Anolis sagrei: one gene and its partners. The main gene of each other region encodes a partner of the protein of the gene in region 4 in a complex. Links are inferred from orthologs where the notes say so. Each region holds a gene or a part of one and is shown on either strand. Other genes may lie near its edges.

What was found.
Region 1: the proteins of CALCR (region 4) and RAMP2 are in contact, whole or in part, in a cryo-EM structure (PDB 7TYX), measured with the Homo sapiens proteins. The link is inferred for Anolis sagrei from reciprocal best matches to the Homo sapiens genes CALCR and RAMP2. Residues at the interface, in NP_001158210.1 of Homo sapiens: Arg45, Lys46, Met48, Met49, Asp50, Gln52, Tyr53, Lys54, Tyr56, Asp57, Met59, Gln60, Trp76, Gly78, Arg126, Phe235, Leu238, Ile242, Thr246, Val250, Glu255, Lys256, Gln257, Arg258, Trp261, Tyr262, Leu264, Leu265, Phe269, Pro273; in NP_005845.2 of Homo sapiens: Trp86, Tyr93, Ser94, Arg97, Asp98, Glu101, Leu109, Pro112, Glu117, Ile120, Phe121, His124, Phe128, Cys131, Pro136, Phe138, Ser139, Asp140, Pro141, Leu146, Met149, Ile150, Pro153, Ile154, Leu156, Ile157, Leu160, Ile161, Leu163, Val164.
Region 2: the proteins of CALCR (region 4) and RAMP3 are in contact, whole or in part, in a cryo-EM structure (PDB 8F0K), measured with the Homo sapiens proteins. The link is inferred for Anolis sagrei from reciprocal best matches to the Homo sapiens genes CALCR and RAMP3. Residues at the interface, in NP_001158210.1 of Homo sapiens: Arg45, Lys46, Met49, Asp50, Gln52, Tyr53, Lys54, Tyr56, Asp57, Met59, Gln60, Arg74, Thr75, Trp76, Asp77, Gly78, Asn124, Arg126, Phe235, Leu238, Ile242, Thr246, Gln257, Arg258, Trp261, Tyr262, Leu264, Leu265, Phe269, Ile276; in NP_005847.1 of Homo sapiens: Cys57, Leu59, Ile63, Tyr66, Glu67, Thr70, Tyr83, Trp84, Pro85, Gln90, Ile93, Thr94, His97, Arg98, Phe101, Ser102, Cys104, Val106, His110, Leu111, Glu112, Asp113, Pro114, Val118, Leu119, Leu122, Ile123, Pro126, Val127, Leu129.
Region 3: the proteins of CALCR (region 4) and RAMP1 are in contact, whole or in part, in a cryo-EM structure (PDB 9AUC), measured with the Homo sapiens proteins. The link is inferred for Anolis sagrei from reciprocal best matches to the Homo sapiens genes CALCR and RAMP1. Residues at the interface, in NP_001158210.1 of Homo sapiens: Arg45, Lys46, Met49, Asp50, Gln52, Tyr53, Tyr56, Asp57, Met59, Gln60, Gln61, Thr75, Trp76, Asp77, Gly78, Asn124, Arg126, Phe235, Leu238, Ile242, Thr246, Val250, Ala251, Gln257, Arg258, Trp261, Tyr262, Leu265, Phe269, Ile276; in NP_005846.1 of Homo sapiens: Trp59, Ile63, Tyr66, Arg67, Ala70, Asp71, Phe83, Trp84, Pro85, Val89, Asp90, Phe93, Leu94, His97, Gly98, Phe101, Ser103, Arg109, Ala110, Val111, Arg112, Asp113, Pro114, Ile118, Leu119, Phe122, Ile123, Pro126, Ile127, Val129.

The regions. Positions count from the first base shown.
Region 1 is NC_090026.1:50,685,188-50,692,441, forward strand, and holds the start of RAMP2 (receptor activity-modifying protein 2), read right to left. Parts: upstream 3,016-7,254; 5' UTR 2,568-3,015; coding exon 2,519-2,567; intron 1-2,518. UniProt on the Homo sapiens protein: Accessory protein that interacts with and modulates the function of G-protein coupled receptors including calcitonin gene-related peptide type 1 receptor (CALCRL) and calcitonin receptor (CALCR). Required for the transport of CALCRL to the plasma membrane.
Region 2 is NC_090026.1:63,149,167-63,156,056, forward strand, and holds the start of RAMP3 (receptor activity-modifying protein 3), read right to left. Parts: upstream 3,022-6,890; 5' UTR 2,526-3,021; coding exon 2,474-2,525; intron 1-2,473. UniProt on the Homo sapiens protein: Accessory protein that interacts with and modulates the function of G-protein coupled receptors including calcitonin gene-related peptide type 1 receptor (CALCRL), calcitonin receptor (CALCR) and G-protein coupled estrogen receptor 1 (GPER1).
Region 3 is NC_090021.1:175,097,342-175,104,643, forward strand, and holds the start of RAMP1 (receptor activity-modifying protein 1), read right to left. Parts: upstream 3,011-7,302; 5' UTR 2,911-3,010; coding exon 2,859-2,910; intron 1-2,858. UniProt on the Homo sapiens protein: Accessory protein that interacts with and modulates the function of G-protein coupled receptors including calcitonin gene-related peptide type 1 receptor (CALCRL) and calcitonin receptor (CALCR). Required for the transport of CALCRL to the plasma membrane.
Region 4 is NC_090026.1:101,948,138-101,955,348, forward strand, and holds the start of CALCR (calcitonin receptor), read left to right. Parts: upstream 1-4,199; 5' UTR 4,200-4,617; intron 4,618-7,211. UniProt on the Homo sapiens protein: G protein-coupled receptor activated by ligand peptides amylin (IAPP), calcitonin (CT/CALCA) and calcitonin gene-related peptide type 1 (CGRP1/CALCA).

The DNA of each region.
Region 1 (7,254 bases), about 51 Mb from region 4:
TCCAAGCAATCCTCCAGATTGATCAGTGTTTCTCAACCTTCCTAATGCTGTGACCCTTAATACAGTTCTTCATGTTGTGGTGGCCCCCGACCATAAAATTATTTTTGTTGCTACTTCACAACTGTCATTTTGCTACTGTTATGAATCATCATAGAAATATCTCATATGCAGGATGTATTTGATATAAATATGTGATATGCCCAAATTTGAATACTGGTGGAGTTGGGGGGGGGGGGGGATAATTGATTTTGTCATTTGGGAGTTGTAGTTGCTGGGATTTATAGTACACCTACAATCAAAGAGCATTCCGAACTCCACCAATGAGGGAATTGAACCAAACTTGGTACACAGAACTCCCATGACCAACAGAAAACACTGGAAGGTTTTGGTGGGCATTGACCTTGAGTTTTGGAGTTGTAGTTCACCTACATCCAGAGAGAACTGTGGACTCAAACAATGATGGATCTGGACTAAACCTGGCACAGATACTCAATATGCTCACATGTGAACACTAGTGGAGTTTGGGAAAAAGAGGTCTTGACATTTGGGAACTGTAGTTGCTGGGATTAATAGTTCACCTACACTCAAAGTCCCCCTTGAACCCCACCAATGATAGAATTGGGCCAAACTTCCCACATAGAACCCCCATAACCAACAGAAAATACTGCAGGGATTTGGGAGGAATTGACAGTGATTTAGGGGAGATGTAGTTCACCTACCTCCGGAGAGCACTGTGTTCCTAAGACCATCAGAAATATGTGTTTTCTGATGGTCTTTGGTGATCCCTCTGACACCCTCTCATGACCCCCTCAGGGGTCCTGACCCCCAGGCTGAGAAACGCTGAGATAGATAGATTAGATAGAGATAGGTAGGTAGGTAGGTAGGTAGGTAGGTAGATAGATAGATAGATAGATAGATAGATCAGGAGGACTGCTGGGAGTTGCTATCCAAGAATAGGTAGAGAAGGAAGAAAGGGGAGAAAGAGGAAGGGAAAGAAAAGGTGGGGAGGAGGAAGGGAAGAAGAAGAGAAGGAAGGAAAGAAGGAAGGAAGGGAGGGAGGGAGGGAGGGAGGGAGGGAGGAAGGGAGGGAGGGAAGGAGAGAAAGAAAGAAGAGAAAGAGGGATGGAAGGTTGGCCACAGCAATGCGTGACGGGTACAGCTAGTTCTGAATATATTTGCTTTACAACCCCAGTGACAAATGCACCTGCCCTCTACTAGGTAATGCCATGTTTCAGATTGAGTGAAATGGGGGCAGGGGCAAAAGGGAAATGGCTCTGGTGGGAAACAGGAACTTTGGGACTCTTGCAGCTCTAGGGTTCTAAGACTTGTTCCCCACTCTCTGCCAAATTTACTTATTAAAAACCCATCTATATAAATAAAAATGTAATGTTCATTTGTGAGATTAACAGAACTCAAAAACCACTGGACGAATTGACACCAAATTTGGACACATGACACCTAACAACCCAATGTATGTCCTTCACTCAAAAAATTGATTTTGTCATTTGGGAGTTGTAGTTGCTGGGATTTATAGTTCACCTACAGTCAAAGAGCATTCTGAACCCCACCAACAATGGAACTGAACCAAACTTGACACACAGTTCTCTCATGACCAACAGAAAATACTGGAAGGGTTTGGTGGGCAGTGTCCTTTGGTTTTGGACTTGTAGTTCAACTACATCCAGAGAGCACTGTGGACTCAAACAAGGATGGACCTGGATCAAACTCTACGCACATACTCAATATGCCCAAATGTGAACACTGGTGGAGTTTGGGGAAAATAGAATCTTGACATTTGGGAGTTGTAGTTGCTGGGATTTGTAGTTCACCTACAATCACAGAGCATTCTGAACCCCACCAACGACAGAATTGGGCCAAACCTCCCACACAGAACCCCCATGACCACCAAAGTGGACCACAGCAATGCATGGCAGGGGACGGCTAGTCAGAAATAAGAGATTGCCACAAGAGTGCTCTTTTCATCCATTGCACTGAACCTGAAAAATAAAGCATTTCATAATACAAAATAAAGCATTCCTATCCTAGGTTTAGGAAATCATCCCCAAAATTGGTGTCGGAATGGACTGTAGAGGAAAATTCACTTGATGTTGGCAAAGAAGTCACCCTCGAGATGGAAAAATACCAGACAAACCAGATTAGGGGAAGGGTCGAGAATGTAATAGTTAGCGAAGAACACAGAAGGAACAAACGTTGCAGCTAGTGTGAAGTGTGAAAGTGAGGGATGTGATACAGAACTGAGCAAAAGAAGTGTGTGATTCACATGCACAGATTGTTAAGATGGTGCCCGCGAGATGACAAGAACAGATAATAATAAATGGGGTCAATGAAAGAGTTGAGCGCCAGGCTCACAAATTGAGCTGACCTGTAGAGTTGCCACCCCCTTGCCTACTGCAGACAATCGGTAAGGATAAGCTCCAATCTCCCCCATTAGAGAAGCAAAGCTACTCACAGCTGTCTATGCTGTGAGTCTATGCTGTCTATGCCCCAAAGTACGTACCTGTAAAGACCAGTAGAAGCAGTTGCAAAGGCAGGCACTGGCCTTCCATCTTTGCTCACCCTGCCACTCTGCTCTACAGCTGCCTGCTCCCTCCTGTGTTCAGCTTGAGATTTGGATTGGAATAACAGGAAGCGCCTCCTTTCCTCTGACAGAGCTGGTAGCGAGAGTGCAGCAGACATGTGAAAAATGAGATTCGGGAGCAAGCCCTGCTCCCAGCGAGGCTCAAGTCTCCTCCCTGGCTCCCCACACCCTTCCAGAGTCACCAGGACCTCTGTAACCCTGGGGCGGCCACCTCAGGTCACCCTGCCAGGCAGCCAGAGCCCTCTGTTCTTCACGGCACATCCACTTTACAAGGCCCAGGGTGCCTTTTGCTTGGGTAATGTCCTCTTCAGTTCTGTCTGCCCGGTTGTGAAATCCAAGACTGAGTGAAAGAGAGGGGGGAAAGGGAGAGAGAACTCCAAAGAAGCAGTCTGGGCAAAAGGAAGAGAGGCAAACGCCAAGCCTGTAGAAGCAGACATTGCAGGCACATACACTCCGCCTGCTACCACATCTTTTGACAAATCAGACATGGGACAGACAGCCCTGGGGCACCACTGACATCTGCGTAGCTCATCTGACTAGTGCCTGAATAAGAGTTAAAAGAGAAAGTGCCCACATGCTAGGCAAAAAGTGCTTCGAAGTTGAATGACGATCTGGAGAGAAGATGCATACTCGTTGCTAGGCCTTGATAGAGTAGATCTTACAACCTCATCAGACTACTTTGTGGGGTTGCCTTTGAAAACTGTCTGGAAGCTTCAAATGGTTCAGCAGGCAGCAGCCAGGCTACCAACAAGAGCATCGCTCAAGGAGCATACAACTCCGCTGTTGCGCCAACTCCACTGGCTCCCAATTTGCTGCAATCATAGGGCAAGCCACCTGTCAATTATAGTTAGGTTCCCTGGTCCCGCCCCCTTTTTGGGTTTTGGAGGGAATAGGAGCCAGTTTGGGTTCAGTCCACACAGAGAAGCTTTTCATGCAGGACATAATACCAAGAGCTCCTGTCTTCTACAGCTTGGCCGGGGAGAAAGGTCCCATAGCTTGGCCGAGGATTATACAGTCTTACAGCTCCATCACTGAGGGACTTTAGTCAGCCATCACCGAAGCCTGAATTCCTTCTTTTTTTCCCCTGGAAGTCTACAAAGCTCTGCTTGGTAAGGGTCACTCGCGGAAGCCAGAAGCAGTTGGTACCGGGTGTAGGGGCTCCACGCCATCAGAGGCAAAGACTGCCCAGATTAGAAGTTAAGGATTTCCCTATTAGCTAAAGTACAGTTTATGAAGATAGTGCCTGTTCCCAGTGGACAAGATTGAGAGAGAGCCAATAGACTGTTAAGAAAGCCTTAAAGTACCTGTTTGTTTTCATTAATAAAGAACTAGGTTGAACCTTTAAGCAATCTAAAGACTCTGTTTAAGGAAATCCAAAGGCCTTTAATCTGAGGCAGCCCTGGCGTCCCGTTGGGCACACAGAATTTATGTCCTGTCTACAGTCTTATGCACAGGCCCAGCGTGCGACAGAACAAACCTGTTTTAAACAATGTATTTATGTGTGTTTGGCATCTAATTGTTGCCAGTCTGTATGCCGCCCTGAATCGCCTTTGGGCTGAAAAGGGCAGGATAAAAGTGTAGTAAATTAATTAATTAATTAATTAATCAGGTGGGCCAAATTCAGCAGCTTATGCCAGTCCCAACTCACGATATCAAACTACTTCCAGCGGGGCTCCATAGTAATAGTGAAAAGGAAGCATTATATGCCACTGCCGCAACAACACAGGTGGCTTCCTATGTTGCATTGATAACAATAGGGTGAAGCCGGATGGCGGACATTTCCCCCCATGGGATGGGGTAAGGAGGAAGCTAGGCAATGCAAGACATGGAGTTCCCCATGCTCCCCAATAGACCCTGATGGATTCACCACAATCCATGGTGAATTCAGCAGCAAACGTGATAAGGTCCTTATTTGTAGTCCTCTAGATCTATTTCCCAGAGCCCCGTCAGCTAATGACAGTCCCCCATCCCTCCTTGCTTCATAAACATTAATAACTAGCTTGGGGACCCGGCGTTGCCCGGGTTATTAGAGAAAGTGGGTAATGGTGGTTCTTTATGCCAAGTTTGGTCTTTATTGGTCTTTCGATAACGGCTGCATTATTTTCAGGAAGTGAGTGAAGGTACTTGAAGTCCCATCATCCATGGGCCATCCTCCTACAAACAGCAGCAGGATATAGAGTGGGTCATGGGGGCTCTGTGTGCCAAGTTTGGTCTTGATCGGTCATTAGAAGAGAGTTGTAGCAATCTTCGGAAGGGAGTGGAGGTACTTGAATCCCATCATCCATGGTCTGTCCTCCTCCAAACTGCACCAGGATGTAGAGTGGGTCATTGGAGCTCCATGTGCCAAGTTTAGTCTTGATTAGTCATTGGCGAGGGTCTCAGGAAGTGAGCAAAGGTACTGCAAGTCCCATCATCCATCTCCAATTTTTTCCAAACAACACCAGGACGTAAAGTGGGTCATGAGAGGTCTATGTGCCAAGTTTGGTCTTGATCCGTCATTGGATGAGGTTTGCAGAGGTCTCAGAATGTGAGTGAAGGTACTGGAAGTTCCATCATCCATGGTCAACCCTCCTCCAAAACTGCAGCAGGCTGTAGAGTGGGTCATGGGGGCTCTGTGTGCCAACTTTGGTCTTGATTGGTCATTAGATGAGTTTTGCAGCAGACTTGGAGAGTGGAGGTACTTGAAGTCCCATCATCCATGATCTGTCCTCCTCCAAACCACACCAGGATGTAGAGTGGGTCATTGGAGCTCCATGTGCCAAGTTTAGTCTTGATTAGTCATCGGCGAGGGTCTCAGTGGTCTCAGGAAGTGAGTGAAGTGACTGCAAGTCCCATCATCCATTGTCAAATTCTTCCAAACCGCACCAGGATGTAGAGTGGGTCATGCTGGGTCTCTGTGTAAATTGTGGTCCTGATCCATCATCGTTGGTAGTTGTAATGGTCTTAGGAAGGGAGTGCAGGTATTGCAAGTCCCATCGTCCATGGTGCATCCTCCTTCAAACTGCACCTGGATGTAGAGTGCATCATGGAGACTCAGTGTGCCAAGTTTGGTATTTATTGGTAATTGGATGATGGTTGCAGTGGTCTGAAGAATTGAGCAATGGTACTGCAAGTCCCATAATCCACGGTCCATCCCCGGCCAAACCACACCAGGACGTAAAGAGGGTCATGAGAGGTCTATGTGCGAAGTTTGGTCCTGATCAGTCATTGGATAAGGTTAGCAGCGGTCTCAGAATGCGAGTGGTGGTACTGCAAGTCCCATCATCCATGGTTCATACTCCTCCAAACTGCAGTAGGATGTGGAGTGGGTGATGGGGGCTCTATGTGCCTATTTTGGTCTGTATTGGTAGTGTTCTGACCCAGCCCCCGGCCTTTCCTTTCCTCTCTCATCTCGGAATCTTGCATTTGAGGCTGGCCAATCAGAGACCATATGCAAATTTCCTTCTGTCATGCCCCGTTTCTGCCATGAACCCTCTTCTCCACCAGGGGCTCCTATTGAAGCTGCCCAATCAGAGACCATATGCAAATAGCACCACAGTGGCAGCCAATCGGAAAGCTGCCACATACACTTCCACCCTCCACACTTCCTCTGTCCTTCCCATACAAACAAACACTCTTCTTTATTATATATACAGATAATAATAATAATCATCATCATCATCATCATCATCATCTTTATTTATACCCCACCACCATCTCTCCAATGGAGACTTCGGGTGGCTTACATGAGGCTGGGCCCAAAAATGCATTTCAATAAAATAAACACAAAACAGCAACACGATAAAGTAAATAAATCATAAGGATACACTAAACAATATAAAATAATGCACCAAAAATAAAAGTAGAAATAAAATAAATCATTCACAGACAGAATCACAATGGGCCACGTGTAGAAGATAAAATGTTAAAAAAAACTCAGGGTGAGATAAAAGTGGAGCATAACATCTGTAAGGGAGAGGCTCATATAACGGATCATACAGTTAAACCTTCTAGCGGCGGGGGGAAATATTCTATAGGGGTATGCATTGAAGGAACAGCTAGAGAATTGTTGTTAATTTGTTCAGTCGTTTCCGACTCTTCGTGACTTCACGGACCAGCCCACGCCAGAGCTCCCTGTTGGTCATCACCACCCCCAGCTCCTTCAAGGTCAATCCAGTCACTTCAAAGATACCATCCATCCATCTTGCCCTTGGTCGACCCCTCTTCCTTTTTCCTCCCATTTTCCCCAGCATCCTTGTCTTCTCTAAGCTTTCCTTTCTTCTCATGATTTGGCCAAAGTACTTCATCTTGGTCTCTACTATTCTTCACTCCAATGAGCACTTTATTTCTTGAAGTATGGACTGGTTGGATCTTCTCGCTGTCCAAAGCACTTTCAGCACTTTCCTCCAAAACCACAGTTCAAAAGCATCTCTCTTCCTTCACTCAGTCTTCCTTATGGTCCAGCTCTCTCATCCGTCGATGACTATGTGGAATACCATTGCTTTAACTATGCGGATCTTTGTTGCCAGTGTGATGTCTCTACTCTTCACTATTTTATCAAGATTGGTCATTGCTCTCCTACCAAGAAGTAAGTGTCTCCTGATTTCCTGGCTGCAGTCTTAATTAATTAATTAATTAATCAATCAGATGGGTCAATTCAGCAGCTCATGCCAATC
Region 2 (6,890 bases), about 39 Mb from region 4:
AGACGCGCCTGCGATGCAGGTGGGATCGTGAGCAGGGCCTCTCCGGATGAACGAAGAGAGCGTGTGGGTTCATACACGGAGATGCGGTCACGCAGGTAGGCAGGTCTCAAACCGTGCACCTTGAATTGGGACCAGAAAATTAATGGCAGCCAATGGAGCTCCTTGAACAGGAGGGTTGACCTCTCTCTATAAGGAGCACCAGTTAACATCCTGGCTGCCGCCCGTTGGACTAACTGAAATTTCCGAGCCGTTTTCAAGGACAGCCCCAAGTAGAGCGCATTACAGTAGTCCAATCTAGAGGTGACCAAGGCATGGACCACCCCGGCCAGATCAGCCTTTACGAGGTACGGTCGCAGTTGGCGCACGAGTCTCAATTGTGCAAAAGCCCTCCCGGCCACCACCGACGCCTGAGCCTCAAGCGTAAGTGATGAATCCAAGAGGACTCCCAAACTGCGGACCTGCGACTTCAGGGGGAGTGTAACCCCGTCCAGCACAGGTTGCCACCCTATACGCCAATCCGGTTTTCGATCGACCAGGAGGACCTCTGTCTTGTCGGGATTGATCTTCAGCTTGTTCCTCCTCATCCGGACAGCCACAGCGGCCAGGCACTCGTCCAGCACTCGAGGGGCTTCCTTGGAGTTGGGTGGAAATGAGTAATAGATTTTGATTAGTTGTAGATGGGTTGGGATGTGGTGTATTCGAAGGATGTTGAGGTTTCATAAATGTTTTATTCTTTTTTGCATACCAAATGGTGTTCTTTGCGATAGGCCGAATTTGCACATATCTGCCGTGACTTGAGCCACATCGGAGACGCGGTGGTCATCCTCTGTGCGAAGGACGGCGTCAAGTTCTCTGCCACCGGGGAACTTGGGAGCGGGAACATCAAGCTCTCCCAGACCAGTGATGTTGACAAAGAGGACGAAGCCATGTCAATAGAGATGAACGAGGCTGTGCAGCATACCTTTGCTCTGTGCTACCTGAACTTCTTCACCAAGGCCACCCCGCTCTCGCCCACCGTCACCCTCAGCATGTCTGCTGATGTCCCCCTCGTTGTGGAATACAAGATCGCAGACATGGGACACTTGAAATACTACTTGGCTCCAAAGATTGAGGATCAAGAAGAGTCTTAATCAAGAAAGAGAGGGTTTTTGGGAGGAAAAACAGAGTGGTTTGGTGAAAGAATCATAGAATCATAGAATCAAAGAGTCGGAAGAGACCTCATGGGCCATCCAGTCCAACCCCCTGCCAAGAAGCAGGAATATTGCATCCAAATCACCCCTGACAGATGGCCATCCAGCCTCTGTTTAAAAGCTTCCAAAGAAGGAGCCTCCACCACACTCCGGGGCAGAGAGTTCCACTGCTGAACGGCTCTCACAGTCAGGAAGTTCTTCCTCATGTTCAGATGGAATCTCCTTTCTTGTAGTTTGAAGCCATTGCTTTGTGTCCTAGTCTCCAGGGAAGCAGAAAACAAGCTTGCTCCCTCCTCCCTGTGGCTTCCTCTCACATATTTATACATGGCTATCATATCCCCTCTCAGCCTTCTCTTCTTCAGGCTAAACATGCCCAGCTCCTTTAGCCGCTCCTCATAGGGCTTGTTCTCCAGACCTTTTATCATTTTAGTCGCTCTCTGGACACATTCCAGCTTGTCAAAGGAAAGGTCTCCCTGCATTTAGGGCCATTTGTAGATATTTCTCTGTAAATACATTCGTTTCTGCAAATAATAGTCTCTTCTCTTCCCCCCCCCCCCCTTTTCACTTTTAGGCCCTGTTTGTTCTTGATTACTGAAACATTGACTCCCTTAAAGGGAAAGTACAGTATTTAAAAAGATGGGGTGCCCCCCCCCCCTTATTTTTTTGCCAGGAGACTCATAATAATGTTTGGAGAAACCTACTTTTTTACGTAGAAACCTTTCCAAAAAACCTAATGCTTGTTTTAAAAAAAAAAGAGGAGGGCGACTAAAATGATCAAGGGTCTGGAGAACAAGCCCTATGAGGAGCGGCTTAAGGAGCTGGGCACGTTTAGCCTGAAGAAGAGAAGGCTGAGAGGAAATATGATAGCCATGTATAAATATGTGAGAGGAAGCCACAGGGAGGAGGGAGAAAGCTTGTTTTCTGCTTCCTTGGAAACTAGGATGCAGAACAATGGCTTCAAACTACAAGAGAGGAGATTCCATCTGAACATGGTGAGAGCCGTTCAGCAGTGGAACTCTCTGCCCCGGAGTGTGGTGGAGGCTCCTTCTTTGGAAGCTTTTAAGCAGAGGCTGGATGGCCATCTGTCAGGGGTGATTTGAATGCAATATTCCTGCTTCTTGACAGGGGGTTGGACTGGATGGCCCATGAGGTCTCTTCCAACTCTTGGATTCTATGATTCTTGGTGTTCTTTGCTGTAGGACACGCCTGTGCCTTGGGCAACTTCTGAAGAGAACTTGACAAAAGAGGACAGCCTGTCAGTGAAGAGAAGAGGAAGCACTTACCACACAGGATTGAGAGGAAAAGGCGCGCTGGCCACAAAACACAGGTCTCCATCCTGCAGGATTCGCCACGGCCACCGCCTTGAAGGAGCAGCAGAAGAAGAAGGAGAAGCAAGGGCAGCGCTGGAGACCCCTTCCACACAGCTGTATAAAATCCACATTGAACTAGATTATATGGCAGTGTAGATACCTCAGTTCAAAGCAGACATTGTGGATTATCTGCCTTGATATTCTATTTTATAAGGCTGTGTCATTCCACAGCCTCTGAGGGAAGAAGTTCGCCTTGAAGGGCGGGGAGGGGTCGCCTTCACACAAGGCCGCCCCTCCTCCTCTTCCCTCCTTTCTCCTCCTCTTACTGGCAACACTTTGCCATTTATTTCCTTCCTTCCTCCTCTCCTCCCCGCCCTCGCTTCCTTGAGAAAAAGGAGAGGGGGGTAGGATAATGTTATTATGGCCCTTCCTTCCGTCATCCTCTTTCAAGGCCGAGGAGGGGGCCAAAAAGGGACCATTGCAGCCCGGCTTCTCTTCTCTGCCCTCTTTGTCTCCCTGAGGTGGGATTCTTCCCGCTCATTTGATTCCTAAATTATCCCCCACACCCTCAGGCAGCAATTTATCATCATTTACTAGCTTGTGTACTCTGCAGTGTCCAGGTTAGGTCATTTCTAATGCTATTTATTAGGAAAAAGCCAGTCTTTGCTTTTGTGTGTGTGTGTGTGTGTTTATGAATGCTCCGATAAGAAAGTTCATAAAAATATGGGTGAACTATAACTCCCAACATGATGGTCAATGGGTTATTTTTTATTTTTTTTATTTACTTTACTTATATACCGCTCTTCTCAGCCCTCAGGCGACTCAAAGCGGTTGACAACATCAGTGCAAAACATCACAAGACAAGTATAAAGCCATTAAAAACAGATTATAGCATCAACAAAGAAACATTAGTATATTATTATTATAACTTTATTTGTACCCCGCTAGCATCTCCCGAAGGACTCGATGCGGCTTACACAGGCCAAGGCCTCAAAACACAATACAACAATACAATACCTAAAGCAAAATTAAAACAGTTAAGCAGAATAAACAAGACATCAAGACACTATAAAACTGGGCCGGGCCAGAGTAATAGGTACAAGATTAAAAGTGCTGATGTGGCAGGAGGTATGTAGGATTATAAGTAAGTGCAGTGTGAGGTGTGCAGTAATCTTAGTTCTACTAAAGTACTTCTAGGACTTGGTATTGGAGGTTCCTAATCTGGGAAGGCACATCGGAACAGCCAGGTCTTCAAGTTCTTTCTGAAGACTGCCAATGTAGGGGCCTGTCTAAGATCTCTTGGGAGGGCGTTCCAGAGTCGGGGGGCCACCACAGAAAAGGCCCTGTCTCGAGTCCCCACCAAGCGTGCTTGCGACGCAGGTGGGATCACGAGCAGGGCCTCTCCAGATGACCGAAGTGAATGCAGGGTTCGTAGATGGAGATGCGGTCACGCAGGTAGGGTGGTCCCAAACTGTTCAGGCACGCATGTGATGTAGGCGGGACCGAGAGCAGGGCCTCCCCAGATGATCTTAGTGTCCTAGTCGGTTCATAGGAGGAGATGGGTTCGGAGAGGTAAGTAGGGCCAGAACCGTTTAGGGCTTTATAGGCTAAAGCCAGCACTTTGAATTGTGCCCAGTAGCAAACTGGCAGCCAGTGGAGCTGGCACAACAGAGGAGTTGTATGCTCCCTGAGTGCCGCTCCTGTTAGCAACCTGGCTGCCGAATGCTGGACCATTTGAAGCTTCCGAGCAGTCTTCAAAGGCAACCCCACGTAGAGAGCGTTGCAGTAGTCTATACGGGATGTAACCAGAGTGTGGACTACCGTGACCAAGTCAGACTTCCCAAGGTACGGGCGCAGCTGGCGCACAAGTTTTAACTGTGCAAATTCTCCCCTGGTCACCGCCAAAACCTATTTATTGTGTCAGCGGCAACCAGACAATTGTATTACATTTCTAACAGAACAAAACAAACAAACAGATAAAACACAAAGTTTGCAAGCTTGGTAGTTGATTAAATGTCCTTTGACCAGTATCTGGCCACTTGGAGTGCCTCTGGTGTTGCTGCAAGAAGGTCCTCCATTGAGCATGTGGCGGGGCTCAGGTTGCATTGCAGCAGGTGGTCAGTGGTTTGCTCTTCTCCGCACTCGCATGTCGTGGATTCCACTTTGTAGCCCCATTTCTGAAGGTTGGCTCTGCATCTCATGGCGCCAGAGCGCAGTCTGTTCAACGCCTTCCAAGTCACCCAGTCTTCTGTGTGTCCAGGGGGGAGTCTCTCATTTGGTATCAGCCATTGGTTGAGGTTCTGGGTTTGAGCCTGCCACACTTGCTGAGGTGTTCCAGCGAATGTCTCTGTAGATCTTAGAAAACTATGTCTTGATTTAAGTCATTGACGTGCTGGCTGATACCCAAACAAGGGATGGGCTGGAGATGTCTCTGCCTTGGTCCTTTCAATATTGGCTGCTACTTCCCGGCAGATGTCAGGTGGTGCAATACCGGCTAGACAGTGTAATTTTTCCAGTGGTGTAGGGCGCAGACACCCCGTGATTATGTGGCATGTCTCATTAAGAGCCACATCTACTGTGGTGAGATGTGTTCCACACTGGGCATGCATACTCAGCAGCAGAGTAGCATAGCGCAAGGGCAGATGTCTTCACTGTGTCTGGTTGTGATCCTCAGGTTGTGCCAGTCAGCTTTCATATGATATTGTTTCTAGCACCCACTTTTTGCTTGATATTCAAGCAGTGCTTCTTGTAGGTCAGAGCACGGTCCAGGGTGACTCCCAAGTATTTGGGTGTGCTGCAATGCTCCAGTGGAATTTCTTCAATGGGTTGGAGGACAGGAAAAGAGGTTTAAAAATGGGCTCAAAGCCAACCTTTAAAACTCTGGCATAGACACAAAGAATTGGGAAGCCCTAGCCCTTGAGTGCTCCAGTTGGAGGTTAGCTGTGACCAGCAGTGTTGTAGAATTTGAAGAGGCATGAAAGGAGGGCGAGAGGAAACGTGCCAAGCGGAAGGCACATCAAGCCAACCCCGACCGGAACCACCTCCCACCTGGAAACTGATGCCCTCACTGCAGGAGAACATGCAGGTCAAGAATGGGGCTCCATAGTCACCTACCTACCCACCACCAGTACAACGAACCTGGAAGATAATCTTACTCGATCAACAAGGGATCGCCTAAGTAAGTAAGGAAAGTACGGTCAATTAGTCTCCTTGGGGAGATAGGGCGGTTTATAAGTAAAGTACTATTATTATTATTATTATTATTATTATTATTATTATGGAATCCCACTGGAGCATTGCAGCGCACCCAAATACCTGGGAGTCACTCTGGACCGTGCTCTGACCTACAAGAAGCATTGTCTGAATATCAAGCAAAAGGTGGGTGCTAGAAACAATATCATACGAAAGCGGACTGGCACAACCTGGGAATCACAACCAGACACAGTGAAGACATCTGCCCTTGCGCTATGCTACTCTGCTGCTGAGTATGCATGCCCAGTGTGGAACACATCTCACCACGCTAAAACAGTGGATGTGTATAGGTGGTGGTGAAATACTAACAGGTTACACAGAAAAAGCAAAATTACTCAAGACCTTCTTTGTCTCAGTCTTCTCCGAAAGAATAAACAGTGCTCAGCTTGAGGATGATGGAGCAATGGATGCAGTAGGGGAAATGCAGCACAGACTAGATAAACAGGCAATACAGGAATATCTGGCTAATCTAAATGAATTCAATTCTCCAGAGCCAGATGAACTATCCAAGGCTATTGAAAGAACTGGCAGAAGTAATTTCAGAACCACTGGCAATTATCTTTGAGAATTTTTGTTTTGGGGGAAAATAGGGGGCAGGGAGCTGGATGGATGCCCTCTCGGGTCAACCTCTGGAACGGCATGTAGCCACCACCAAACTAGGGGGAAGAATTTGAATATTTGAATATTCCAATTCTTCCCAGGATTTGGCCCTGTCTGGAAGGGCCTCCAGAGGCAGATAACAGTAGAAGCAGGTGATGGTGATCCTTTGGGAGGTTTCTCTCAAGTCCCTGCATGAGAAGCTGAAGCTGACAGATGGGAGCTCCCCCTGCTCACCTGATTCAAACTGCCCGATACCACAAAGAAGGCAAGCATTAGTTTCTAATGTAATCACTAAACTATATACCTTTGAGGCACAACTGGTGGGTATGAGAGACAGGGCCCTCTCAGTGATGGCTCCTTGGCTGTGGAACCCTCTCCCTAGTGGAATTAGATTGGTTACTTCCCTCCTGTCATTTCTCAAACAAGTGAAAACTTGGCTTTGGGAACAAGCATTTGGCCCAGCATAATTATCTGTGCAATATAGTTGGAATTGGCTTTGGACTGATAAATATAATTATCTGATTATCTGGCTTTGGAT
Region 3 (7,302 bases), on a different chromosome or scaffold from region 4:
TAATGCAATACAACTGTTTTGGTTCGCTCCTGATACAACAAATAAATAAATAAATAAATGGAAGCAGTGTTTGCAAGAGATAAGATCATATCTACATTTTAATTTCTGCACCCCGCCCAATGATGCAACTGATGCATATATTTGTATTCCCGTAATAGTCAAATGTTTGAGTAGTCAAAGATAGGGTATTTTAGATCTGAGTGAAGAAGAAAAAACAGAGGATGGAATAGTACCTGCTACTAGAAGAACCCAACTTGCCAGATTCACTGGTACACTGATTAATATTTATAGGGGCATCTACACTGTGGAGTTAATGCAGCTTGACTCTACTTTAACTGCTGTGGCTCAATGCTATGGAACCATGAGGGTTTCAGTTTAGTGAGGCACCAGCACCCTTGCGCAGAGAAAGCTAAAGACCTTCCAAAATACAAATTAAACGACGGCAGTCAAAACAATGTCATACTGCAATCATCCTCTCTCTCTTGTATATTTTTTATTGTGGTACATGAAGAAAAAAAAAGAACATATCATCTTCAAAATTCAACAATTGAAATACACATATTATTTCCCCACTCCCACCCACCACATGTGAACCACCACCCATGACTTCCGACACCATGCCATATGGAACTATTATCTAACCAAACTCCATCCTTATCATTACATTAATAAATTCCTTGTGCGGTATTTATTCTCTGACCACAGGGTCATGCTCTGCAGTGGCAGACTGGGTATGAAAATATAGGTAACCAAGAGACATTGGGGAAGGGGGCACCCAAAATAAGGCTATAGTTTAGGTGTAGGCAAACTTTGGCCCTCCAGGTGTTTTGGACTCTAACTCCCACAATTCCTAACAGCCTACTGGCTGTTAGGAATTGTGGGAGTTGGAGTTCAAAACACCTGGAGGGCCGAAGATTGCCCATGCCTGAGATAGTACCATAGAATTGGAAGAGTCCCCATGGGCCATTCAGTCCAACGTTTTTCCAAATGAAGCAGAGCGTGTTTGAGGACCAGGACATCCATAGGGAGACCAAGGTGCTTGTTTATAAAGTTATTGTCCTCCCAACCCTGCTATACGCCTGTGAGACTTGGACAGTCTACAGACGTCACATGCAACTCCTGGAATGATTCCACCAGTGCTGCCTCCAGAAAATCCTGCAACTCTCTTGGGAAGACAAGGGGACAAATGTCAACATGCTGGAAAAGGAGAACATGCAGGACAATAGGGCTCCACTGTCACCTACGGATCCACCACCAGGAAACTACACTTGGAGGACCATCATCCTCAGACAATGAGGAATTGCCTAAGTAAAGTTAGTCAGTCCAACCCCTGCCACGCAGGAAACGCACAATCAAAGCACCCTGGACAGGTGGCCACCCAGCCTCTGTTTGAAAGCTTCCAAGGAAGGAGCCTCTCTACTACAGTGGTTCTCAAACTTCCTAATGCTGCGACCCCTTAACAGAGTTCCTCATGTTGTGGTGACCCCCAACCAGAAAATTATTTTCATGACAACTTCACAACTGTAATTTTGCTACTGTTATGAAGCATAATGTAAATATCTGATATGCAGGATGCATTTTCATTCACTGGACCAAATTTGGCAGAAATACCAGATACACCCAAATCTGAACACTGGTGGCATTGGGTGGGTGATTGATTTTGTCATTTGGGAGTTGTAGTTGCTGGGATTTATAGTTCACCTACAATCAAAGAGCATTCTGAACTCCACCAATGATGGAACTGAATCAAACTTGGCATACAGAATTCCCATGAAAATACTGGAAGGGTTTGGTTGGCATTGGCCTTGGTTTTGGAGTTGTAGTTCATCTACATCCCAAGAGCTGTGGACTCAAGCAATAATGGAACTGTGGACTCAAGCAATAATGGATCTGGACCAAATTTGACATGACAATCAATATGCCCAAATGTGAACTCTGCTGGAGTTTGGGGAAAATAGACCTTGACATTGGGAGTTGTAGGTACTAGGATTTATAGTTCTCCTACAATCAGAGGATTTTGAACCCCACCAAGGTTAGAATTGGGCCAAACTTCCCACACAGAACCCCCATGACTAAGAGAAAATACTGTGTCTTTGGCGACCCCTCTGACATCCCCTCGCGACCCCTCCAGGGGTCCCGACCCCCAGGTTGAGAAATGCTGCTCTACTACCCTTACTAGAATCAAAGAGTTGGAAGAGACTTCATGGGCCATCCAGTCCAACCCCATTCTGCCAAGAAACAGGAATATTACATTCAAAGCACCCCTGACAGATGGCCATCTAGCCTCCGTTTAAAAACATCCAAAGAAGGAGCCTCCACCACACTCCGGGGCAGAAAGTTCCACTGCTGAACAGCTCTCACAGTCAGGAAGTTCTTCCTTATGTTCAGATGGAATCTCCTTTCTTGTAGTTTGAGGCAGAGAGTTCCACAGTTGAACAGCTCTTATGGCCAGGAGGTTCTTCCTAATCTTCAAGTGGAATCTCCTTTCCTGGAACCAGAATCCATCAATACAATATACATTTGTATCGTACTGGAACTTCTCAGATGCTTGAAGCCCCTTTGAACATATTGTCTACACTTGCCAGCAAGTTGCAAGCTTGCCTAAGCCTAGAAGGGGCGAAGAAAGGTGCCTTTCCCCTAATCCCATGCTTCTGTTGAGGCCCCACCGAGAAGAAAGAGCAGTCCAAACCACCACTGGAAAAGGCTCCTGTCCCTTTAAGAGTGGTGTAGGCGAGGGAGTCCCAGGTGATGCTAGTTAGCTGGCTGTTGAACCAGCAGCACCTGGCGACCCCGCCGCCCTTCAAAGGGGAGCCCAAGGCAAAGACAGAGGGAAACCCAAGGTCGGGAGCAGCACTTACCCAGGCTCAGCCACAAGAAGCGCCTCAGCAGGGCGAGCATCCCCAAAGCCATGGCGCCTCCCGCCCCGAAGCAGCGGGGGAAGAGAGGGAGCGCGAGCGCAGTGACTCTGACTCTCTCTCTCGCGCTCTCTCTCTGACTGGTTTGGTCCCCGGGCGCGCGCGGCGCAGAACCCTCCCGGGAGCACGTGCAGCGCCGCAGCGGGAAAGGAGTGCCCGGATTGGTCAGCTCTGGAGCCGCGAGCCCAAGCAGCACGCCCAATCCGAAGACGTCCTCTCCCCGGCGTTTGCCTCTCATAATCATCATAATAGATAAATAATAATAATAATAATAATAATAATAATAATAATAATAATAATAATATAAATAAATAATAATATAGATAATAATAATAAAATAGATAATAATAATAATAGATAATAATAATATAAAACAATAGTAATGCGTGTGTTTGTGTGCATGTGTGTGTGTATATATATATAGACACACATACACACAAACACACGCATTACTATTGTTTTATATTATCTATCTATATAAAAAATGCTTTGTGCATAATGAGTACCTTAAAAACAAAAGAACCAATGAACGAAATCACACCAAATTTGGCAACAACACGTCTCACAACACAAGGAGTGACCATCACTCAAAAAATTATGATTTTTGTCATTTGGGAGTTGTAGTTGCTGGGATTTATAGTTCACCTACAATCAAGGAGCATTCTGAACTCCACCAATGATGGAATTGAACCAAACTTGGCACACAGAACTCCCCTGACCAACAGAAAAAACTGGAAAGGTTTGGTGGACATTGACTTTGAGAATTGTAGTTCACCCATATCCAGAGAGCACTCAAACAATGATGGGTCTGGACCAAACTTGGCACGAATATTCCATATGCCCAAATATGAACACAGATGGAGTTTAAGGGAAATAGACCTTGACATTTGGGAGTTGTAGTTGCTGGGATTTATAGTTCACCTACAATCAAGGAGCATTCTGAACTCCACCAATGATGGAATTGAACCAAACTTAGCACACAGGGCTCCCATGACCAGAGGTGGCCCTAGATAATTTTCAACGGTAAGCAAACAGTATTCCGCCCCCCGCCCCCCCGCCCCCCCAGCCAATCACTGATATATATTTTCTGTTTGTCATGGGAGTTCTGTGTGCCCTATTTGGTTCAATTCCATCATTGGTGGAGTTCAGAATGCTCTTTGATTGTAGGTGAACTATACATCCCAGTAACTACAACTCGCATATGTCAAGGTCTATTTTCCCCCAAGAGCGCCTCAAGAGCTCCCCTGGGCAAAATCAACTATACTGCGAATGCTTACTTTGCGTAATGGTTGAGCCGCCCCTGCCCATGACCAACAGAACACACTGGAAGGGTTTGGTGGGCATTAACCTTGAGTTTGGGAGTTGTAGTTCACCTACATCCAGAGAGCGCTGTGGACTCAAACAATGATGGATCTGGACCAAACTTGGCACAAATATCCCATATGCCCAAATATGAACACAGATGGAGTTTGGGGAAAATAGACCTTGACATTTGGGAGTTATAGGTACCAGGATTTATAGGTCACCTACAATCAAAGAGCATTCTGAACCCCACCAACGACAGGATTGGGGCAAACTTCCCACACAGAACCCCCATGACCAACAGAAAATACTTAAGGCCATCCAGTCCATCTCCCTTCAGCAGGGCAAGAAAATGTAATCAGAGCCCTCCTGACAAAGAGCCATCCAGTCATAAATATAGATAGATAGATATGGTTCTCACACACACACAGAGAGAGAGAGAGAGAGAGAAAGATAGTATCCTAGATTTGAAAGGGACCCCTAAAGAAGGACAATGATATGTTGCATGTTCCAGGGTGGGCAAACCAGACAATCTCCACATCAACACTGACAAAGAAACAGCAAGAAATACTAATATATGAAATTACATATATTAGAAACCAACACTTTCTCATTACTTTATTTTCCAGATCACCAGACTGGGCCACAGCAACGCCTAGCAGAGGACGGCTAATCTATATATATAAATCTGTTAGGTTGGTTATACCGGACAGGTAAACTCTAAACCCCCCCAACGAAACTGCACCAAAATTGCCATGGCCCTAGGACAACCCACTCGGTACAAACTAATCCACTCACAATTACAAACAACACAACAACACACTCACAAAGTGGCAAAACAACTGAGCATGCGCACTGCCGCAAAGACCCCAGCGCGCGCGCACACATGGCCGAACGGCCGAACGGCACTTCCCTCCCTCCCTCGCCCAGCACGAACACGTCGCTGCCACAAACACACACACACGCATCGCAACTTCCTCCCACCCCTTCCGGCCCTGAAACACTCCTTCCCTCCTCCAACGCAGCTCTGGTAAAACACGCCCCCTCCCTTCCCCGCAACACAACCAAACGCCGGTAACAACCCCTCCCCCCACTAACTCACCACACCTCCCTTCCCCGCAAGACAAAAACACACACGCCGCTAACGCACACCTCCTCCCTTCCCCGCAACACAACCAAACGCCGGTAACAAACACCCCTGCCTTCTACACAAACACACACGCCGCTAACTCACCACCCCTCCCTTCCCTGCAACACACAAACACACACGCCCCTAACACACACCCCCTCCCTTCCCCGCAACACAACCAAACGGCGGTAACAAGCCCCCCTGCCTTCCCTGCAACACACAAACACACACGCCGCTAACGCACACCCCCTCCCTTCTCCGCAACACAACCAAACGCCCGTAACAAACCCCCCTGCCTTCCACACAAACACACACGCCGCTAACTCACCACCCCTCCCTTCTCCTTCTTACCTCCTCCTTCTTCTTCCCCAATCTCACCTCCTCCCCCTCCTTCTTCCTCCCCTACCCTCTAGGCGAGGGAGGTTCTGTGCAGGGCCTAGCCTTGCATGAAGCCTCTCTTGCCTAGATCGCGATCCGGCCAGAGGGAGGGACGACGGAAGAACAGCAAAAGAGGCGAGTGCTGGGAAGGGAAGGGAAGGGAAGGGAAGGGAAAGGCGGGGGGGGGGGAGAGGAAGGGAAGGCTCCACAACACAACACAACATCTCACAACAGAAGGAGTGACCATCACTCAAACAATTATGATTTTGTCATTTGCAAGATGTAGTTCCTGGGATTTACAGTTCACCTACAATCAAAGAGCATTCTGGACTCCACCAATGATGGAAATGAACCAAACTTGGCACACAGAACTCCCATGACCAACAGAAAGCACTGGAAAAGATTGGAGGGCATTGACCTTGAGTTTGGGAGTTGTAGTTCACCTACATCCAGACAGCACTGTGGACTCAAACAATGATGGATCCGGACCAAACTTAGCATAAGCATTCAATACGCCCAAATATGAACACAGATGAAGTTTGGGGAAAATAGACCTTGACATTTGGGAGTTGTAGTCACTGGAATTCACAGTTCACCAACACTCAAAGAGCATCGTGAACCCCACCAATGACAGAATTAGGGCAAACATGCCACACTGAACCCCTATGGCCAAGCATAAAGAAGGGGGAGGAAGGAGGGATGCCAGAGACAGAAAGAGAGAAGGAAAGAGGGGAAAGGAAGGAGTGTGAGAGAGAGAGAAAGAGGGAAAGAGAGAGAGAAAGAGGGGAAAGGAAGGAGTGTGAGAGAGAGAGAAAGAGGGAAAGAGAGAGAGAAAGAGGGGAAAGGAAGGAGTGTGAGAGAGAGAAAGAGGGAAAGAGAGAGAGAAAGAGGGGAAAGGAAGGAGTGTGAGAGAGAGAAAGAGGGAAAGAGAGAGAAAGAGGGGAAAGGAAGGAGTGTGAGAGAGAAAGAGGGAAAGAGAGAGAGAAAGAGGGGAAAGGAAGGAGTGAGAGAGAGAGAAAGAGGGAAAGAGAGAGAAAGAGGGGAAAGGAAGGAGTGAGAGAGAGAGAAAGAGAGAGAGAGAGAGAGAAAGAGGAGAAAGGAAGGAGTGTGAGAGAGAGAAAGGGGGAAAGAGAGAAAGAGGGGAAAGGAAGGAGTGTGAGAGAGAAAGAGGGAAAGAGAGAGAGAAAGAGGGGAAAGGAAGGAGTGAGAGAGAGAGAAAGAGGGAAAGAGAGAGAAAGAGGGGAAAGGAAGGAGTGAGAGAGAGAGAAAGAGGGAGAGAGAGAGAGAAAGAGGAGAAAGGAAGGAGTGTGAGAGAGAGAAAGGGGGAAAGAGAGAAAGAGGGGAAAGGAAGGAGTGTGTGAGAGAGAGAGAGGGAAAGAGAGCGAGGGAAGGAAGGAAGAGAGGCCAGGCAGAGAATTCAAAACTCTTACTAAAGGCCACAGCAACGCGTGGCAGGGCACAGCTAGTATATATATAAAAATATAATGTTTGTTTGTGGGATCCACAGAACTCAAAAACCAGTGGGCCAATTGACACCAAATTTGGACAGCATACACCTAATAACCCAATGTATGTCCT
Region 4 (7,211 bases):
TCATATAATCCAGTTCAAAGCAGATAATCTGGATTTTATATGGCAGTGTAGAAGGGGCCTAAGACTGCAAACCTACATGCATCTATTTGGGAATAAAACTCATTGACCTCAAACTGGATGTCCTTCAGACTAAATACACTGAAGACTAATGGAATATTGTATAGGCTTTCCTGGGGATACATCCTTTTGGCCATAGTTTTGGCTTCTTTCCAGATTTCATGTCAATATGTGTAGAAATATACCATGTAAACCAGAGGCTAGAGTTATATTCCTAGCTTGTTAACAGATCCATGTAAGAATGTTTTAATTTATGGACCAGGCTTGCCAAAGTCGCTTCCCAGTTTCAAAAGGCTGTTGGCAAAAAAGCTCCAGAGAAATGGTGTTTGTCATGTATAATCATTTATTAATTGCACGCATATGCTTCAGCTCAAATTCTAGCTTCTGTATTCGAGTCTGCTGAAGAATATCACTCTCCAATCTTCAATGAAAGGGATTTTTGACAGCATTCACACACAGAATGAACAGGGACCAGAGCCTTCACTGTCTGTAGCACAGCTGGAAAACACTGACTGATTTGGAGACATTCAGAAAAAGATACCAAAGGAAATGCTACCCATATTTAGAACCCAAATACATATTTCCTTCCTTCAGTCCAATGCATAATTGTGTAGCAGTGATATAACAGAATCCACTAATAAGGGAAACATTTTTGAATTACACAGTGATTAATATAGTAATTTTTGTTGAATATCTCTCAATAACATTTTCAGTGGAACAGCTCATTTCTTTCTGTAGTAACAAATACAGTGAATATGAATATGCATGAAACTAACACATCTTATTTTTTTAAAAATGGGAGAGAGAAATACCTTTCTGTTATGATGTTCTACCTCTTCATTAAGATCCCTTCCACACTGTCATATAAAATCCAGATCATCTGCTTTGAACTGGATTATATAGCAGTGTAGACTCAGGTCCCTTCTACACTGCCATATAATCCAGATTATCAAATTGCCATATAAAATCTGGATTATCTGCTTTGAACCGGATTATATGGCAGTGTAGACAAAGACCCCATCTACATTGCCATATAAAATCCGGATTATGTGAACTGAATTATATGGCAGTGTAGACTAATATAATCAAGTTTAAAGCAGTGAATCTGGACTTTTATGGTGGGGGAGATGGGGCCCAAAGCTGGATCTACACTGCCATATATCCCAGGATCTGATCCCAGTTTATCTGCTTTGAACTCAATTATATGAGTCTACACTGCCAGATAATCTGGGATCAGATCCTGGAATTCTAGAGAAGTGTAGATCTAGCCTCAGGGCCCATATATATACTGCCATATAAAATCCAGAGTATCTGTTTTGAACTGAATTATATGGCAGTGTACACAGAGGGCCCTTCCACACAGCATATAACCCAGAATATCAAGGTAGAAAATCCCACAATATCTGCTCTGACCTGGGTTATCTGAGTCCATACTGCCATATATCACAGTTCAAAGCAGAAAATGTGGGGTTTTATTCAGTTGTGTGGAAAGGGCCTCATATGATCCAGTTTAAAGCAGATTAAGTGGATTATCTGCTTTGATAATCTGGATAATGGAGCCCCCGGTGGCACAGTGGGTTAAAGCCCTGTGCCGGCAGGACTGAAGACTGACAGGTCGCAGGTTCGAATCCGGGGAGAGGCGGATGAGCTCCCTCTATCAGCTCCAACTCTTCATGCGGGAATATGAGAGAAGCCTCCCACAAGGATGATAAAACATCAAATAATCCGGGCGTCCCCTGGGCAAAGTCCTTGCAGATGGCAAATTCTCTCACACCAGAAGCAACTTGCAGTTTCTCAGGTTGCTCCTGACACGACAAAAAAAATAATCTGGATAATGTGTCAGTGTAGAAGAGGCCCTAGTTGTACAAGGTCTTTAGCCTTCTCTGCTGCAGAGGGTTGATGCTTCACCAAACTACAACTTCCAGGATTCCATAGCACTGAGCAGGGCAGTTAAAGGTGTGTCAGACTGCTTTGATTCTAGGTATAGATGAATGTTTCTCAACCTTCCTAATGCCACGACCCCTTAACACAGTTCCTCATGGTGGCAGTGATCCAACCATGAAATTATTTTTGTTGCTATTTCATAACCGTAATTTTCCTGCTGTTATGAATCATAATCTAAATATTTGATATGCAGGATGTATTTTCATTCACTGGATCAAACTTGGCACAAATATCCGATTCACCCAAATGTTAATACAGGTGGGATTCAGGGGGATAGATTTTGTCATTTTGGAGTTGTAGTTGCTGGGCTTTATAGTTCACCTACAATCAAAGAGCATTCTGAACTCCACCAACGATTAAATTGAACCAAACTTGGCACACAGGACGCCCATGACCAAGAGAAAATCCTGGCAGGGTTTGGTAGGCATTGAACTTGAGTTTTGGAGCTGTAGTTCACCTACATCCAGAGAGCACTGTGGACTCAAACAATGATGGATCTGGACTACACTTGGCATGAAGATTCAATATGTCTAAATGTGAATACTGGTGGAGTTTGGGGAAAATAGACCTAGATATTTGGGAGTTTTAGTTGCGGGGATTTATAGTTAACCTACAATCAAAGAGCATTCTGAACTCCACCAATGATGGAATTGAACCTGTCTTGGCACACAGCACTCCCATGACCAACAGAAAATACTGGAAGGGTTTGGTGGGCATTGACCTTGAGTTTTAGAGTGTTAGTTCACCTACATCCAGAGAGCAGAAGATGGTCTTTTGGTGAGGATTTGCTGTCCATTTCCAAAAAGGAAGAAAAGGACATTTGGAGAAATCTTCAGCCTTCTCTACCAAAGAAGTTCCTAAGACTATCATAGAATCATAGAGTTGGAAGAGACCTCAAGGGCCATCCAGTCCAACCCCCTGCCAAGAAGCAGGAAAATTGCATTCAAAGCACCCCCTGACAGATGACCATCCAGCCTCTGTTTAAAGACCTCCATAGAGGGAGCCTCCACCACACTCCGGGGCAGAGAGTTCCATTGCTGAATGGCTCTCACAATCAGGAAGTTCTTCCTAATGTTCAGATGGAATCTCCTTTCTTGTAGTTTGCAGCCATTGTTCCGCATCCTAGTCTCCAAGGAAGCCGAAAACAAGCGTGCTCTCTCCTCCCTGTGACTTCCTCTCACATATTTATCATATCTCCTCTCATCCTTCTCTTCTTCAGGCTAAACATGCCCAGCTCTTTAAGCCGCTCCTCATAGGGCTTGTTCTCCAGACCCTTGATCATTTTAGTTGCACTCCTCTGGACATATTCAAGTTTGTCAATATCTCTCTTCAATTGTGGTGCCCAGAATTGGACATGACTTCCCTGGATCAAGACACTATACTCCTATTGATGCAGGCCAAAACCCCATTGGCTTTTTTTTTTTTGCTGACACATCACATTGTTGGCTCATGTTTAACTTGTTGCCCATGAGGACTCCAAGATCTTTTTCAAACCTACTACTCTCTGCTGGAACTAGGTGTGAATGTTTCAACTGACCACCTTAATTAGCATTTGATGGCTTGGCAGTGCCTGGGGGAATCTTTTGTTGAGAGGTGATTAGATGTGTCTGATTGTTTACTCTCTGTTGTTTTGCTGTTGTAATTTTAGAGTTTTTTTTAATACTGGTAGCCAGATTTTGTTCATTTTCATGGTTTCCTCCTTTCTGTTGAAATTGTCCACATGCTTGTGGATTTCAATGGCTTCTCTGTGTAGTCTGACATGATGGTTGTGAGAGTGGTCCAGCATTTCTGTGTTCTCAAATAATATGCTGTGTCCAGGTTGGTTCATCAGATGCTCTGCTATGTGTCCAGGTTGGTTCATCAGGTGCTCCAGCAGACAAGAGTCCTTTGCCCCACCCTGGTCATTCCACAGGTATATAAACCCATTTTCCTACTTCCCACAGATCTCACTACCTCTGAGGATGCTTGCCATAGATGCAGGCGAAACGTCAGGAGAAAATGCCTCTAGAACATGGCCATATAACCCGGAAAAACCTACAACAACCCAATTCTGCAAATATTTGTTTTCTGATGGCCTTTGGTGACCCCTCCCTCACGCCACGCCCCCCCTTCAGAGGTCCCGACCCCCATGTTGAGTGACACTGGTGTAGATAGACGCCCGTCTCCTTCTCCTCCTCCTCCGACCCGCCCCTCCTCTTGCGCTGGCTTTCCTCTGGTGGAAGCAGAGCGTGCGGCTCCTTTAAAACCGGACTCCAGGAGCCGACCAGCCTCTTTTCTGACTTGGGTCCTTCTTCTTCTCCTTCTCCTTCAGTAGCAGCAACAGCGCGATCGAGTGGACGTCTCTTTTGGTTGTTTGCTGGGGCAGGAGAAAGAAGGCGGCTCCGTCTCTCCCATCCATCCTCCAAGCTGGTTTTCTGGCTCAAAGGGGGCTTCAGCTTCGCCTCCTGCCCTCTTGCCAAGCCCCTTCTCTGCCCAGATTAGTAGGGTTTTCCCCCTTACTCAGTCTCTTTTTGGGGTGGGATTTAAGGGCTCCAATACACCTCGGTTTATTTGACATTGGAGGGATCCTGAGACCAGAGGATCCGGTGCAAATCGACCCCGCCAGGACTGATCCAGGTAAGGAAGGACAAGTTTTAAGATTTCCTTTCTTTTTTTGGAAGTGGAAAGGAACATTTTGGAAGCTGCTGCAAGGAGGGAGGAAGGGGACCAAGCTGGCACCTTCTGAGTTGGATTTTTGGGGCGCATCTGCGGCGTAGACTTCTTTAAGTGCCATGGCGAAGGAATTGTAGTTTTGCAAGTCTTTAGTCTCCTCATCCCAAGAGTGCTGGTGCCTCACTAAACTACAAATCGTATGCTTCCATACATCACACTAGAGGGGAAAAAATCCACTTAAAATCTGGTTTCTGCCTCCTGCAGAATTCTGGGGTTTGTAGTTTAGTGAGGCTGTTAAAGGCTCCTCCCTAAACTACAAATCCCAGAATTCTGCAGGAGGCAGAAACCGAATTTTAAGTGGATCTTTCTTCTCTGAGACGCATAGCCATGGTACTGAAAGTGGTGTCAAACTTAACTTATTCGACAGTGTAAATGCATCCCCTGTTGCAGGGTTTTTCTTGGCAAGCTTTGTTAGGGTTTGACATTGACTTCCTCTGAGGCTGAGAGAGTGACTTTCCCAAGGTCTACCTGATAATAAAAGAAGTCTTCCGGTACACACATCTCCCTTTAAAAATCTAAGAGGACTATATATTCCACATTAGCAATAATTCCTTTATTTATTTATTTATTTATTTATTTACAGCATTTGTAGCCTGCCTTTCTCAGCCTTAGGGCAACTCAGGGCAGCTCACAGAATTGAGCAAATTTGATGCTATACATTCATAAAATACAGTTAAAACATTCAACCCAACATTATAAAAAACCATATATATACCAATTAAAAACATAATCACCGGTGTCATCCTGTTAGAATAATTATCCAGCAGCATTTTCTAGCCATTCCATGTTCATTCTTCCTATTTCATACTTACCTATTCCTATGTAATATTTACCTATGACCGGTTTTCAAAAGGGCCATAAGAGGACAGTCAAAATTCATGACATGCAAGTTGGGAGACTGTTAAAAAGTTTGTATTCTGTTGATTAAATGGGAGTTTGTCATATAATTTTAGGGATGCTGTCCACATCCATAAAAAATAATCTACCATTAACGGCACTCCATGCAGTCATGCGGGCCGCATGATCTTGGAGGTGTCTATGGACAACGCCAGCTTAGAAATGGAGATGAGCACCAACTCTCAGAGTCGGACACAACTGGACTTAATGTCACAGAAAAACCTTTACCTTTACATATTTCTATGATGGGTTTACAACCCTAGATATGATCTCTCTTCATATATATATAGGCAACTTGTTCAGTCTATATCAGGCATGGGCAAACTTCGGCCCTCCAGTAGTTTGGACTTCAACTCCCACAATTCCTAACAACCTCCAGGCCCCTTCCTTTCCCCCCTCAGCTACTTAGGAATTGTGGGAGTTGAAGTTCCCAATCTATAAGATTTTCCTTTCAATTCATTTCAATTTTCTTGTATGAAAGGAAAATTCACACCTACCTCCAACCAGGCCCGTAGCCAGTATTTCGTTTCGGAGGGGGCTGAATTTTTTTTCAGGGGGGTTTGGGGGGGGGGCTGAGTTTTTTTTGGGGGGGGGCTGAGTCTGAGTGAAAGATGGTCTAGCCTAGCAAACCTTTTGTATCGTTACCCCAATACCCCCATGCATATGGGATATATTGAGTATGGTGATCAGATCATGATATGAATAAACATAACAGTTTAAATAATGCACCAGTAAGGCCTTTTCGCGAACCACCATGAAAATTTCGGGGGGGGGGGGCTGAAGCCCCCCGAGCTCCCCCCCCCCCGGCTACATGCCTGCCTCCAACAGACAAGAGTTCTTTCTCCCACCCTGGACTTTCCACAGAAATATAAACCCAATTTTACTAGTTTCCAACAGACCTCACAACCTCTGAGGATGCCTACCACAGATGCAGGCAAAACGTCAGGAGAGAATGCTTCCAGAACATGGCCATACAGCAGGTGTATGTGCCAGTCAGCCTACAACAACCCAAAGGAAAATCTTTCCAAGACTAAATAGAAGACATCTCTTATAATAAAGGGACACCACAGGCAGCTTAAAGGCACATATGGGACAAGCTTCCAGGCCTGCAAATTGGGGACACCCTTTATGATAAAGGGTGTCCCCAATTTTATAAAGGAGACAGTTTCTGACTAAATATTTTTTAACAAGGTACATCTGGCAAGTCATCCTCCTGCTTTTGGTTATATCAAATCTGGGGTGTATGCACTGTAGAGTTAATGCAATTTCACACCACTTTAACTGCCATGACACAATGCTATGGAATCCTGGATATGCAGTTTAGTGAAGCACCAGCACTCTTTGGCAGAGAAGGCTTGTATACTTCAACTTTTATTGAGCATGGTTTGTTTGTTTGTTTGCTTTTTGTCGTGTCAGGAGCAACTTGAGAAACTGCAAGTCGCTTCTGGTGTGAGAGAATTGGCTATTTGCAAGGACGTTGCCTAGGGGACGCCCGGATGATTTTGATGTTTTTATCATCCTTGTGGGAGGCTTCTCTCATGTCCCCATATGAGGAGCTGGAGCTAACTCATCTGCCTCTTCCCGTATTCGAACCTGCGACC